Linked DNA regions of Tribolium castaneum. The protein of the gene in region 2 interacts with the protein of the main gene of each other region in a biochemical or structural test. Links are inferred from orthologs where the notes say so. Each region holds a gene or a part of one and is shown on either strand. Other genes may lie near its edges.

Region 1 (8,223 bases), on a different chromosome or scaffold from region 2:
TTTTTTTGTATGCGCTCAGCTTTACACGACCTATTCTAATGGACAATTCTCGATTTATTTTATAAGCATTTTTTTATTTCAGTGAACAAATATTCTTAAATTTAGTTTCATAGTTATGTTATAATGTTTTTACGAAATTAAAATAAAAAACTGAATAATCGCTTTCTCTCGCTGACATAATATCCAAATTAAAATCAAACTACTATTTGCAATCGATCTTAGAATAAATCGTCCCTCAGCTTAAATCGTTTTACAAATTTTATTTAGCTGTTGTTGCATCTTGCACTGTTCTTTGATTTCGTACATTTTATTTTCCTGAATTTATTCTCCACATTTTTTATAGTTTTTATCTGTAAGTCTTTACTTAATTAAAAAAAATCATAGGACCTTAGTTTCTCTAGTAAACGGTACTTTACTGCCTCAATTTTTTTACAAGAAAATACGATTTTATTTGTTTATCTTTTCATCATACGAGTTACTATTTTATTTATAATTCTTTTGTGTCACTAATGAGCAAATTGCAAAATTACACAAACGCCGATTTACTTTTAATCCTCCAATTTCCCTCATTCGTCTAATCAGATAATCAACCCATTAATAAACCTCACCGTCTCAACAATAGCCTTTGGATTCTCACGTATGTTATTATGTGAAGCCATCAAGAGCATTTTCATGATTATATGATTTCCTGTTATTGCTGCATGTTCATTCATTAACTGCTTAACTCAATTATTTACTTAATTAACATCGCCAATTAATCGAACTGCGTCTTAGAAAATCCTCGTCACCCAGCCCTTCGGGCAACACATACTGCCACAAAACCATCGTCAGAGACTCCTTGCGAAACCTCCCTTAGCTATAACTTGGGCGACCTTGTGACCCCCTATATCTCCCTCACTTACATGAGCAAACAGAAGTTTAAGAATCAAATGAGATGAGAATTCCCACCTCAATTGTGGGAATGGGACCGACTAATTAATATACAGTAGGAAAAGCAATTATTAAAAATAATACCATTGTTAAGACCCGAATTCCCACATGTATGAATAATCATTTTCAAGAAAATGAGATTTTGTCGTGAGAACTGACTTGAATGGATGTGAAAATGCGGAAGGCCTTCCGTACTCACTGTGATTTTTTTTCTGTTAGGGGTTTGAAGAATGGTGATATTATTCAAATAGTTTTTATTTCTACAAAATATGCAGCATGTACAGTTTGTTTATGTATTATTTTACGTAGAATAAAACTAATTCTAATAAAGATATTTACACTCATTACATTTGCCATAAATTCGTTGTTGTCATGTTTTCCTGTCGAGATTTTTTATTACCTATTATTTATTATTCATCGGCAAATTGAGCATAATTTACTTAATACTAAGTAAAAATTGTTGGACTATTCATTCTGACTGACAATTAGAAAACTTACATAACTTTGGTTTGTTCATAAGGCTAAGTATCTCTTTACACCGCTGTAGAAACACATCCTACAAGTCTTAGGCCGGTCAACTGCATCAATTAAAAAATAAGGAAAAATTGATACCAACTTTTGCTTCTCTACGACCGCCTACTCAAAAAACATATCACAATAAATCATAATACAGAAGACTCGTGCCACTTCCAATCTCAAAATTTAATACTGAGTGTCCACTCGAGAAAAAACACAATGGTCGTTGTACACCCTACCTAACTTTATTGCATCTACCTACCCACCCCCTAATGCATCCCTCCGTGCGAGTTCCACGCCGCCTCCTGCGTCAGCGCCTGGCTCTGCCCCTGCGCCGCCGCCGCGCTCCTCTGCCCATGCCTCATGATCTCGTCCGCAGGCAAACACTGCGGTCGGGGCCCCGGCTCCGGCGTATACGTGAACGTCAACCCCGTGGCATAGATAATCCCGTCGTTCCGCACCAAGGAGACCGGGACCTGGGTCGGCTGCCGCACCCACAGCCACTCGCCCCGGAACTGCGAGATGTCCGGGACCACGCACAGCATGGACTCCTGGCACCGGTACATGGTCTCGGCCTCCACGTCCCCGAACCACACCTGCAGGGACGGCGAGAAGTTGTCGCCCGTGAGCTCCAGCATCGCCACTTCGCCGCCGCCGTTCAAGTGCAGGCTGTGCACGATGGGCACGGGGGTCACGGGGGAGCGCACGGGGCCCATGCCCTCGTAGAACTGGTACTCGGCCTTGTCGGTGGAGATGATGGTCCAGCAGGCGCCGTCGTTGATCATCTCCTTGTTGGGCTCTTTGGGGCAAGGGGTGGCCTGGAACTGGATGATGCGCTCTTGGGAGAGGCAGAGGTACATGCGTTCGGTGTCTTTCATGTAAAAGGCGCATTTGTGCAGCTGGGACACGGGGTCGTCGGCTTCGAGGAGCGCCTGCTGCTTGTCCACCTGGACCAAAACAACAAACGCTTTACAAAATTGAACCAAAAAACACAAACTACGAAACAAAAAAAGACGCCACAAAGAGAAGAGAACAATTATATTACAATACGTTAAAAATTTGCAATACGATGACCTGTACAAACGTAAAAAAGTGGAAAATAAAAAAAATACCGTCAGGAATTATAGGAAGTTTCAATCACAATTTTTTCAATTAATACTTGACCAAGTAAAGATAAATCGTAACTGGAGAACTGTCAAATTATACACAACTTAAATAATTCTAATAATAATGTAGCTGTATTTCAACGGGTTCCTTAAAGTGTAAGTAAGATAAAGAATAAATACAAGGTGTCTCAAAATCGGCGGATTCCAAGTCCTGCAGAGCGTAGTAGAGAATCACCAAATGTAGAAACAAAATAAAGATTTGGGGCTTCTTCTGACATTTTGGCGAGAAATTAGCTTTCTTTCTTTACGATATTTTCTGATGAGGTCGGTGAAAAAGAGTATTAAGAGTTTATTCGTAATTAGCGTAGGAAGACTAGGGAGAAATCTGATGTTGTCGAGAGGCATGTTATGCTTTTTAAAGGCATTAAAAATGATATGCGGACGAAATTATGACAAAAAAAAAAATCTTGAACATCCAGCATAAGAAAGTCAATGACGTGGTGAAATATTTAATTATTATTATGAGTATTAAGAAAGCACATTTGTAATTTTAATGGCTGAAAAAACATAATATTTTGTGTTTCTTGAAAATTACAATAGTTTGTATTATTTTAGTAGGTTTTTCTTTCCCCAAAATAGGCTTCGAATCGCCCGCGTGAGCGGCGAGTTTTGATAGGATGGGAACCGACATGTGTTCTCAAATGGGCCAATCACGGGCTGGGTCAACATTTGTATCGAAATATCGAATTTTGTGCAATGAATCATCTGGAAAATCATTATTTTGTCTGAATTCGGTCATGGTATGGCCGTAACTGCTTGCAGGGAGCGTTCCTTTGCGTAATTATGGGGAATATAAAGATTGACATGTTGCCGAATCATAACCTCAATTTTTTGTTGATGTTTTTTTCAAACGTACCTTTCGAATGATAAGTCTCGGGAGGGCCATTCCGGTGACAGAACACACCAGTTTGACTGTAGAACCGTAATGAATGTACCCATCCCGTACTTGAAACTCCTCACTTTCAGATTCATTGTCGTCTAACAAGTGTATAGTGAAAGCACCCCACTGTGTGGAACTGGCATGAAAATGTCCATTTTCCACGTGCAGATACCGCGTGGAGACAGTCTGAGATCTAAGTCTGTTAAAAAGCGCCACTTTGGTACCACTCGCAATACACAAATCCGCGTTTTTCAACGATTGTTTCTTCTTTGAAGGCTTCGAGATAACTTTGATTCTTTTGCTATGAAACACCCCGATGTCGTGCCCCGACCCGTAGAACATCTTCACGGACAACATAAAGTGTTTCCTCTTGTCCGAATCGGAGATGTAGAGAGTTTTCGCGGCACAATACTGCTTCCCATTATTCAAATCCAGCTGCTGCATGTCCTGGTCCGAGTTCCCAATCCCTATGAAAGCGCATAACTGCGAGGCCTGCTCGGACTCGCCCTCCCGCAGCATCTGCTCCTGGCGCAGCCTCCAGCCGTCCCCGAACAGATAAATGCAAGGGGGCGGACAGAAAAACCTCTTCTCATTCCCGTAGGACTTCTGCGCCACCTTGGCGTGCAAAATCACGATGACCATGTCGGACCGGTCCCGCAGATACCGCTCCATGGCCTCCCGGGTCAGCCGCCGGTCCTCGCCGCGGTAGCCCCCGGGCACCACCGCCCCCGAGAACCGCGAGTACATGGCCCCGTGCTGCGGCGGCGGCGTCGGGGGCGACTGAGCGTGGGCTATGCCCGGCAATCCGTACTGATGGGGCATTTCGAAACACTTAATCAAGTAGGCCGCATCGCACTGGCGTTTGTTTTATCGATGCACTCACAGCCAACTCTTCGCACGGCTACCGCAACACACGGTGAGAACAAATGCCATGCTTCCCCCTCCTTTGCCCCCCGTATCTCATTCGAAAAACACCTGTTTGGAGAGAGGATTTTCCGACAGGATGGCCAACTTTCAAAAGGCGAGTTTTCACAGGAAGTGCCCGAATTAACGCGTTCTTGGAATTTTTTAACGCTCAAGAGGGCCCAAGATGGGCTGATGGGTCTGCATGGGCCATGGGCGGGGCGGGCGGGGCGGGCGCGGCGGTCGCTGAAAATTATGTAATTTTGGTAGCGTTAAGGCGGGTTTACACCTAACACGCGTAAAACGGTAGTGGATGACACAACAGGGGCGGAGGCGAGACGCCACTGGAGGATTAATCCTAGTGAGGGATTTTCTACCTTGATACCTAATCTAATTGATCTAATTAGGTGCCAATTATTATTATAAATAATGTTTATTTCTAAAAAGAAGAAAACTAAAAAGTTCTAACAAAGATAGCAGTATTAGGAAGTTCGCGGCGCCGCTGCCTGACAAAAGAATGTGGTGGTTTTATTGGCGTTTGGGCGCACGCCACTGGCCGCGTGTTTATGAATGGGTCCCCTCCCTTGTGAAGGTGCCTTTAGCGCCGCCCCCCTGCCCTCCCGCAGGATGTTGGGGTTACAGCCAGGGCGTGGGAAAATCATGGTGTGGGAAAGAGTGGGTGGCCTCGGCGATTCTCAAACATTTGATACTGAGAGATGTAATTCAGACCGCTGGACGAGATTAGGTCTGTTTTCCTCTGATTTGATGATTCTTCGCATCTAAATCATGGGAACTGACTGACGTTCGTGTCGCGGTCGTTCATCGCCGCCTCAGACCGTGGGAATTTTTTCCATCAGACGCCTCGAATTATTTACCAGAAAATATATTATGGGAGTTCACGGTCTGTGGAGGCTCATCGAGCCTTCCGGCAAACCCGTGCCTCTGGAATCTCTCGAAAACAAAGTGTTAGCTGTCGGTATCCTTTATTGACATTTCAAACGTCACGCTTGATCGGTTATAACCTTAACGCAATCTGACAGATGTCTCGATTTGGTTGCACCAAATCGTCAAGGGGTTCCAGGACGCCAAGGGGGCCGCCGTCCCCCATGCGCACCTGCTGGGGATCTACCACAGAGTATGCAAATTACTCTATTTCAGAATCAAGCCGGTGTTTGTCTTCGACGGAGGCGTCCCAGTTCTCAAAAGACAAACCATAGTGAGTAAAATAATGAGAAAAAAACATAACCTCAGTTGCATTTTCCCGCAAATTCCCAGGCGTTACGCAACCAGCAAAAGTCCAAAACCTTGTCCGAGGCGGACCGCATCCACAAAAACCTCCTATCAGCCTTAGTCAAACACACCGCGATTAGCAAAGTCTTGTCCGAAAAAGCCAAAGCGGCAATAACCGCCTCAACTTCTCCCACTAAAAAATCAAAACAAGACGATGACGAGCTTTACGCCTTGCCCCCGTCCCAGTCTCTCGACTCCACATTGTCACAAAGTGACTCGGATTCGGAAGACTCGGGGCTTCCCCGATACGACTTGCATTCAATTGACACGGAAAGTGCCGAATTCAAGTCGCTACCGGCCGACGTCCGGCACGAAATCCTCTCCGACTTGAAGGACACACGGAAGCAGTCTTCATGGGGGCGCATCCACGAAATGCCCACTCAAAGTGACAACTTCTCCACCTATCAAATGAAACGACTCTTGAAGAGGCAGTCGGTGCAAACCGCCCTTGAAGACGTCGAAAAAGAAATGGGGGGCCATTCTCTATCGCTGGGCGAGCTGGAAAAATTGCTCAAAGACCAGGGGGTTATAACGAACTTGAAAGGCAGTCGGATCGCTTCGGACGAAAACACGCGGTTTCTTTTAATCAAAGACATCAAGCAGGCCGTGGAGGAGGCCAAAAAGCAGGATTTACCAACGATTGAAGAAAGCGAAGAATGCGACGAGGGACAGAATGTGAAGAATAAAGGGGAGCAAGAATTTGAAGACGATTTGAAGAAGGCCATAGCCTTGTCTTTGGAGGCGGAACCGTCGACATCAAAAACGAAAGACAATCGGGAGGAACCGTCCAGTTCTAGGGGGAAGAAACGATTGTCGTTATCGTTTCTTGAAGATGCTGATTTTGGAAATTCGGACTCCAGTGAAGAAGAAGAAGTAATTCGTACGAAGTTAACACCAGCTCAGAGATACATGATGGAGTACAGTGGGCTGACTCCCAGCGAAATTGCCAAAATTATTGCCAGTAAAAGTGGAGCAATGAAGAAAGTCAGTGAAGAGAGTAGTTCTGGTGTTTCTAGTAGCATTATTAAAGAACCTGAAGAAAGGAAAGAAGAAACAGATAAAGCCAGTAGTAGTTCTGATATTTCTAGTAGCATTGCTAAGGAACCTGAAGAAAGCAAAGAGGAAGCAGATAAAACTGGTAGTAGTTCTGATATTACTAAGGATAATGAAGAAATAACAGAAGAAACAGACAAGACTGGAAGTACAAATGTTTGTAGTGAAATTACCAAAGACAGTATTGAAGATATTGCGGAATTAGATGAAGATAAAGTTACCACTTCTATCGTCAGTGAAGATACAGTTGAGGTGATGTCAGATTCTGCCTCTAGCAACGATGAGGACTTTGTAGATGTAGATGAAGAAAAGGAGAAGAAAAGTACCAACGGAGAGATTGCTATGGAGGTCGTGATAAAGCCAGATGAAGAAATTGAAGACGATCTCTTCAAGGACGTATTTGAGGAAGTTGAAGAGAAAACGGAGGTTTCAAGTAGTACTGAAGATGCTTTTAAAGAAGTGGAGAAAGAAAAACCAATTGAAGAGAGACCGTCAGGTCAGTCACTCAAAGATAAGATCGAGAAGATGGTCCAAGCATATACGAAACCTCATGAAGAAAATGAAGAAAACAAAGCGAATACTGAATTAACAGTTGAGCAACTGAGCGAAATGAGAGACAATTTAAGAAAGGAACAAACAGAACTGTTAGTAGAGAAGCAAACAAAAGAAAGAACTGCGGGAAACATCACTGAACAAATGTTCCAAGAAGCCCAGGAACTCCTGGAATTATTTGGGGTGCCCTACATTATAGCCCCCATGGAGGCCGAGGCTCAGTGCGCTTTCCTGGAGCTGATTGGTCTCACGGACGGTACCATAACCGACGATAGCGACATTTGGTTGTTTGGGGGAAAAACCGTTTACAAGAATTTTTTCAACCAAAACAAAGTTGTGATGGAGTTTAAATCGGACAACATCCAGCACCATTACAGTACAGTCTAGCTTCTTGTTGTAGTAATTATTCTTTATTTTAATTTTTGCAGAATTGACAAGGGAACAAATGATCCTCCTGGCCATGTTGGTGGGGAGCGACTACACCACTGGCTTGACTGGGGTGGGTCCAGTGACGGCTCTGGAAATTTTGGCCGCTTTTCCGCCGAAAAATCAACTCATTTCGGGTTTGGCAGAGTTTAAAAATTGGGTCATAAAGGGAAAAATGCCCGCTCCTGGCCGGACCTCACTTCGCAGCAAGTTGAAAAATGTTAGTTTCACGGAGAATTTTCCGAATCCGCAGATCGTTCAAGCCTATCTGGAGCCCCAAGTTGAGACAAGTAAGGAGAGTTTCACGTGGGGGAAGCTTGACGTTTTTGGGTTAGTGGAGTTTGCGAGACAAAAGTTTGGTTGGACGAAAACCAAGACTGAGGAGATTCTTAATCCGATTTTGAGGCGAATGGGGGAGAGTAAGAGTCAGAAGGCAATTACTGATTTTTTCAAGGTTGAGTATAGAGTGGATTCGGGGGGGATGGAGAAACAGATGAGTAAGAGAGT
Region 2 (7,743 bases):
AGTCGTTTACTAGCTGGACGCAATCTAGAGTGCCGGCGTTTGAGCAAGGATTTGACAGACACTCATTAATGTCACCTTCACATCTTGGGCCAACAAAACCAGGCGGGCATTTGCATTCAAAACCGCCAACTTTGTCCAAACATGTACCGTTGTTATGGCACGCCCCTGGCCGACAATCGTCGACATTAATCTCACAAATGTAACCCAAAGTACCCGATGGACAACTACACGAAAAACTATTAACGAGATCGTGACAAGTGCCACCGTTTTGACACGGGTTCGGTTTGCAATCATCGACGTTTAGTTCGCAATTTTGGCCTTGGAAACCTTTGGGGCATTTACACGAGTAGGAACCAATCAAATCGAGACACGTGGCACCGTTTTGACACGGCGCCGAATCACATTCGTTGATTTCCGTCTGACAGTACGAACCACTATAACCATCCGAACAATGGCAACGGTGGGAATTCCCAATGTCCTCACATGTCCCATTATTACATAATTTTTTCAATGGTACAACTTTACGCAGTGCTGCATCTTTACAACTGACCATTTCCACATCACATACCTTCCCCGTCCAACCAACGCCGCACAAACACTGATATTGGTTTTTGTTTTGTACACAAGTCGCTTGATTTTCGCATGGATTCGTCGAACACCAATCAACATACTCCCCACAATCTTTACCCGTGTAACCATAGGGACAATGACACGTGTAATGCGTGGTATGGTCTTGACATGTAGCGCCATTTAAACACGGCGAACTGTCACATAGATTGATACGATTTTGGCAATTTGAGCCGGTAAAGCCCGGTTTACACGTACAAGTGTACGAATTTATACCATCAATGCATGTACCACCATTCATGCAACTAGTTTCCGTGCAATCTTCATCGTTCGTTTGACAATTAATGCCGGAGAAACCCAATGGACATGTGCACGTGTATGAATCGACGTACTGGTTGCAAGTTGCACCGTTTTGACACGGATTTGACAAACATTCGTCGATGTCAATGTCGCATTGTTTACCTTCGAAACCGTTCACACATAGACAGGTGTAATCGCCAATGTCGTCCAGGCAAGTGGCGCCATTTTGACACGGATCTGGAAATTTTAGATTAGGTGGCAATTGTCAAGTTCAACAGTTGGGCGGACTAGAAAAGTACACTCACAGAATCGGTCATAGACAGAACCGAACATTATCCCAAAGAAAATAGCTTTAAATATTATAAATGTTCGATTTTTTATTTTTCTGTTTTCTACATTTATTCTTTCTGTTCTTTTATTAATTACTGATTATTTTAAAACAAACCATGTTTTCAATTTAAAAAATGCCTGTTTCTAAAAAATAATTAATTAAAAGAAGACAAAAAAACAATAAAAAACAACAGAGAAAATAAAAAATACAATAAACAAAGCAAAAAAATAGTACTAAATTCTCTTTTCGTTTCAAAATTTCAAATGCTAGTTTCTGTTTAAATAAAAAAATGCATGCTTATTTTTCCATTAACTTCGAAAACTTTAAAATTTCAGACCATAGCCACTTAAAATCCAAATACCTAGGAAGCCATGACCACCTATAACAGCGCCCTCTGTTGAGCTAGTGCATTCCCCCCACCACTTTTCTGTTTTGTACAGTTCTGCGTTTAACATTTCTGTTAATGTATTTTTCTAGATCTATACTGTTCTGTTAATGTACAGGCTGTCCCAACGATCCGAAAAAGCTCCAAAGCTTGTTAATTATTAGAGATATTGACTTTCTTCTGCTCCATGTTTCTAAAGTATTACAGGATGTTCCAATATTAAAAAACCAGTAATTAAATTTTATTGCATTTTAATCTCAACTTGTATTAGTCGATTCGGCTTAGTTTTTGAAATAATTTGATTTTTTTGACATAAACACGTTTCATTTAAAAATTTATTACACAAAAACGGAGAAACGTAGAAAAGTAGGACTTTCACTAATTTAAAGGGAAAAGTTCAATCTTAAATCTGTTCTAATTGTTTGGCGTATTACAATTAGAAACAGAAAAAATAAGAACTTTGTCAAAAGTTGAATAACTTGAAAATGGAACACTCAATATTTTGTTCTTGCTTCTCAAACATTATTAAATTGTCTATCTAAAAAAAAGTTAATAATTAAAAGATAATTTCAGGAAATTTCATTTAAAACTTTTAAATTATTCAACAAAAAAATTAAGGTTGTTCCATTGTGTTGTAGCTAATTTTAGAAACACGCTGTAAACTTGAAAATAATTTTCGTAAAAAAAGTTTAATTTTCTAAGGACAGCCTGTATGTTTGTGGAGATGTACTGTAATTTTTTACTTACGTGAAGCACAATCATCCGTATTAATACTGCAGTCTTTTCCTTCATAACCCAGCGCACAAATGCAATGGTACGACCCATTGGTATTCTTACAAGTGGCGCCGTTTCGGCACGGTTTCGAAACCACACATTCATCGACGTCTTGATCGCAAAACCGCCCCGTATAACCCCCGCTACAAGTACACGCAAAATCCTTATAATTCGAACTTGGCGTACATTTCGCGTTATGCCGACACCGGTTCGGTGTACACGGATCCAACTTATCTTCGCACTTACGTCCAGTAAACGGCAATTCACACACACATTTATAATCATTGACTTGATCAATACACGTGCCACGATTTTTGCACGGATTAATCGCACAATCATCGATATTCGTTTCACAATTAATGCCAGTATAACCGGGTAAACATTCGCAAGTATAGGAGGCGAGATGATCGTGACAAATGCCACCGTGTTGACAGGGATTTGACGCGCATTCATCAATGTTGATTTCGCATTGTTTACCACTGTAACCTGGTAGACAATGACAGATGAATTGATTGACGCCATCCTCGCAACTGCCGCCATGTTTGCATGGATTTGAATTGCATTCGTCAACGTCACTAAGGCAACGAGCGTCATAGTAACCACGTGGGCATTCGCATCGAAAACCGTTTATCATGTCGATGCAAACGCCCCCATTGGCGCACGGGTTTGAAGCGCACTCATCTATGTCATTCTCGCAATGTTTGCCGGTGAATCCCGGAATACATTCGCAGTTATAACTGAAAAACAAACACAATTGGCATTACAGTTTCCTGTATTTACTCCATTAATTATTGTTAGTAAAACTACTTACTCCCTACTGTACGCATGTAAAAAAAAAATCAATCGGTTAGTGTATGTTATACACGGCGATTCTTTTAGGGCCTACATTAAAAACTTAAAAAAAATCACATTAGCCTTGAATTGTGACAATTGACAATTTTCTCAAACCTTAGGTTATCAAATTAAAAAAAAACATTCACTTATTGTAAAAAATTCAACGACATTTTAAATAAAATAAACTCCAGCAAATAAAAATTTTAACAAAAAATTGACATATAATTGTTTAAGTTCTAACTATATTAGAATAGAAGCATGAAAGTTTCTAATGTAGGTTTTGAAATAACCGGTTATAACCGTTGACTTACCTATTAATTCCATCGACACATCTTGCATTATTCCGACATGGGTTACTGTAACATTCATTGACGTTGATCTCGCAATTCGGTCCTGAAGTCCCGGCTTTACACAGGCATTGATAACCGTTGACTAAATCCTGACACAAGCCGCCATATTGGCACGGATTCGATTCGCATTCGTTGATTTGATATTGACACAGGTAACCGGTGTAACCGGGATGACACGTGCAACTGAAGGAATTTTCACCATCGAGACATTCGCCATGTTGGCATGGCGACGATTGACAATCATTGATGTTTGTTTCGCATGACAAACCGGTGAAACCTGGCGGACATTCGCACGTGTAACCGGCAATTGAATCATGACAAGTGCCACCATTTCGACAAGGCGATGAAACACAATCGTCGATATTGATTTGACAACGGGAACCGGTGAAACCGATTGCACAACTACATTTAAACGAATTGATGAGGTCATGACAGACACCGCCGTTAAGGCAGGGCTGATCTTTGCATTCGTCGATGTCAATTTCGCACTGGGTGCCGGTGAAACCTGCAAATTTTTTTAAGTTATTTTTCCCCATTTATGAAATTGATTTAACTTTGTCTTGTTTTATTTTGCGAAGAATAAAATTCTAGCTAATCAAATCGCTTTCAGATCCAAATTCAATTAAACCTCTAAAATCTAGTTTGTTTAAAAACAAAATTGTTCACGTTTCTTCCAAAGCAGACTACGCAAAAATGCTTATTTGCCATTTTGATCAGCATGTAAGATTCAATCATATCATATGATACACCGTTGGAATCAGGAATAAAAACACTTTTAAAAAATACAAACAGTGAATATGGCCAAAGTTGAGTATTGTAACTCGGACATCAAGTACGCCTTGGAAAATATGTCCTAGTTATTTTAATTTTCGATTGAAAAAATTAAAACAAAAATTACAAATTTTTTTGCAATAATTCAAAAACTAAAAATGACCCTGGAGACGAGTCGCTCATGTTGCAAAGTGGCGGGAATATTCGAAAATAAAATTCGCTTCGCCTCGCTCAACCATCTTATGAATTAAGTATAAACCTTTATGTATCGGTAACGGTTGTTGTGCAAGCCTTCTCTTGTAAACACGCCCAACCGCTTATGCTTTCACGATATCCATCCAACACAGCCTTCTTCGACTATTCGTATTTTTCTCCTCCCACGTTTCAAATCTCCGTCAACAATAAACGTTTTATAAAAGAATGAAGAAAAAAAATAGCCACGAATAATTACAATCAAATCTCATCACGCGACCTGTAATTGAATAAAACGCCGCTTAGATGATGAAGAGAATCCGCGTTCAATGACACACGAATTGTTGTTTCGTTTCGAAATTTATTTCATCGCGAGAGAGAAGCGCATCGAATTCATTTGCATAGTGGTTTTCAGTTTGCTCGAGATTCATTTTTATTTATTTATTTTATTTATTAACGATGATGATAATTGGCCTCATTCTCATATAATAACGGTGCGATCTTTTTCATCGCTTGAATAATGCATGCGTTTGAACGTAATTAAATTTTTTCGAAAAAACTATGTAAACGTTTCAAATGGGTCGTGTCATTTCATCGACCGGTTCTTCTAGCTTTAATTATCACCAAAGTGAGACATTTTTCTCAAAGAAACAACATTTTTTCAGGCATGACTTACGAGTTCGTATCCTATGCAAAACAAGAAAACTGTGCTTATTTCCGGTTAAACCTGATTTGTTATTACAAATTAATTAACCCTTTTTTCCCCGACCCGGACGAGTCGGCCCTGCCATCGTTGCCATAGAAATCTATACGTAACCATGGTTATAAACGATATTTCAGTGACAATTGACATTTGCACCAGTGGCGTAACATTAAAAATTTAAAACAAGAGCCAAGCTTGATCAATCCCGCCCATATCTCGTACCACCGTAGGCAAAAAGTCGTGTCGATACTGTTTGTAGCTCGCAAAAGCAGGTCGAAACACATCGTTCACATGCCTCCAAAGTTCATCTAATTATTACCGCGAGAAACGAAATCAAAATTGTCTCGATTCCAGTTCATGTCACCGTTAAAAACTACCAACAAAAAGTTTTACGTGTAACTCACCTGGCATACAAACGCAACGAAATGTTCCCGGATCATCCAAACAGGAGCCATCATTGTGGCATGGATGCGATTCGCATTCATTTACATTGGTCTCACAACGTGGTCCAGTGAAGCCTTGCGTGCAATTGCATGCGAAACTGCCGGGGGTGTTAACGCAGATTCCGTCGTGTTCGCATGGCGAACCTATAATACAAAAAATACAAGAAAAAAAAACTCAAAAAGCAGTGGCGTTCTTAACTATTAAATAATAACTATTTTATATGGTAGCGCTCAGCTCCGTTTGCGTGTGCGTCATCTGACATTTCTGTCACTACGTTTACATAGCAGGGGCATAGCGGTGACAAACTATCAAATATTTTTTGAGGTTACGAAGTGTTTAAATTATGAGTTGTTACAAAAAATACAGATTCACAAAACAAGAACTAATAAACGCAGAATCAAAAACCTAACGAAACGCAAATCACAAAACACAATAAACGAACAGAAAATACTTGCGATTAACACCGACAACACTTTCGACAACCATGCGATGACGTCTATAATTTACTGTCAATGTCAGTTTGACAAATTCGTGACACTTGATGGTGTTGTCGAAGTGCATATGTAAATTAATGTTCAAGGATACCACCCTTAGATACCCCTTAATTGTTTAAATTTGCATTGTTTTTGATAATTTTTTTACAGCTTTGTGTTGGTAATGAAAAAATGAAATTGATGACGCACACGCAAACCGAGCTGACCGCCACTATAGTTCCATTTTTTCATGGAATGGCTGCATAGTAATACATAGTTTTTGTTGCCATGGTAATTTGGTATTGTTACCACAGTACCAATAATTTTTGCGTCGGTACGCCACTGAGGTATTCAGGTGGCTGACGTTTCCCAATTAAAATTCAATTAATCAAGTTTTAATTTAATTTCTAATTAAATATCTGGATTCTAATCATCAGAGATACGATCGTAACACAAAAAAGTCCGGTCAGAAATTTATTCAATTTAAGAGATTCAAGATAAAAGTGATAAAAATGTAGTTTTTATTATGCGAAAAATTTTTAGTGCTAGGTTAAAAGGTTGTGGAAAATATGATCGATAAATTCCCCTAGAAATGGCAAACTTAACGCACGAATAAGTCCCAAAGATGCATCTTATACTGCAACCCTCGCGTTTTATTATTATTGTGTATGTGTGTGTTGGTATGTTGTAATTTTTCCCATCATTGTTCATTATGATCGGTTTCATTGTGAAACGACCACAAAAAATCCATCAGTGGCGTAGTGTTATTAGAGATATTCCAACAACCGGTCATTATCCCACAAGTGGAAATAACTTCTTAAATCATTACATAAATTGTAACACAAAGTCCATGAATAATATTTAGACTCGTATCAAGACTTTCTCTTCTTATTTCGCTGGAAGATCATTAATCTTCGCGCTAATCGATCGATTTATACCGAAATTTGAACGTAGGTGGCGTCAAAACCAAAAATTAATAAATTAAAACTCTGACATTGCAAAATAATTGTGTGTTTTTTTGTTCTTGGTCGATTTCTTAGATTCGTTGTGTATTTAAGACGGATTTCTTCGTGCGATGAGAGTTTCTCCGCTTCAACAGATATTCCATTAGCATAGAGTTTTTTCGAAAGAAAAACGTCGAAATCGGAGCCGTTAAGTGAGCGAAAATGAACGTTTTTCTTATTTAAATAAATGAAGCGATTGCGACACGAGTGTGAACGGTTTCATTATTAAAAAAATACACTTTTTTGAAAAGTTCAACGAACCCACAATTTATCATTATAATAATCGGACTATAACACACCCCTGGGTCACCCTGTATTTATGTAGCACCATCGTAGTTTTTGATAAAATTAATACATTTCCTTTATTCTCTCTCGGAAAAAAATCAAGTTCAATGAACCAAAATGTTCACCACTGTACTGACAGATGTAATAAGCAAAAAACACCACTTTACTGATTAATGAAGAATACGCGAGTAAAAAGTTTGTTACAGGAATGGTCATTAAAAATTTATGGATGTCTTAAAAATCTCGTTCACGTGCTCATTATACGAAATAAAATTCTACAAAAAAAATCTTCGTGAGATAATTTTAATCCAAATACAGATCGATTTATTT

Evidence for each region.
Region 1: the proteins of N (region 2) and Su(H) form a complex in vitro, tested with the Drosophila melanogaster proteins (4 studies listed by BioGRID). The link is inferred for Tribolium castaneum from reciprocal best matches to the Drosophila melanogaster genes N and Su(H).

Annotation. Positions count from the first base shown.
Region 1 is NC_087398.1:4,882,228-4,890,450, forward strand, and holds Su(H) (suppressor of hairless protein), read right to left. Parts: upstream 4,632-8,223; 5' UTR 4,315-4,631; coding exon 3,469-4,314; intron 2,394-3,468; coding exon 1,716-2,393; 3' UTR 1,168-1,715; downstream 1-1,167. Other genes in the region: DNA excision repair protein ERCC-5 homolog, read left to right, coding at 5,284-5,371, 5,436-5,611, 5,671-7,666, 7,719-8,223. UniProt on the Drosophila melanogaster protein: Transcriptional regulator that plays a central role in Notch signaling, a signaling pathway involved in cell-cell communication that regulates a broad spectrum of cell-fate determinations.
Region 2 is NC_087400.1:109,101-116,843, forward strand, and holds part of N (notch), read right to left. Parts: intron 5,795-7,743; coding exon 5,612-5,794; intron 4,047-5,611; coding exon 3,503-4,046; intron 3,095-3,502; coding exon 2,331-3,094; intron 1,105-2,330; coding exon 1-1,104. UniProt on the Drosophila melanogaster protein: Essential signaling protein which has a major role in many developmental processes. Functions as a receptor for membrane-bound ligands Delta and Serrate to regulate cell-fate determination.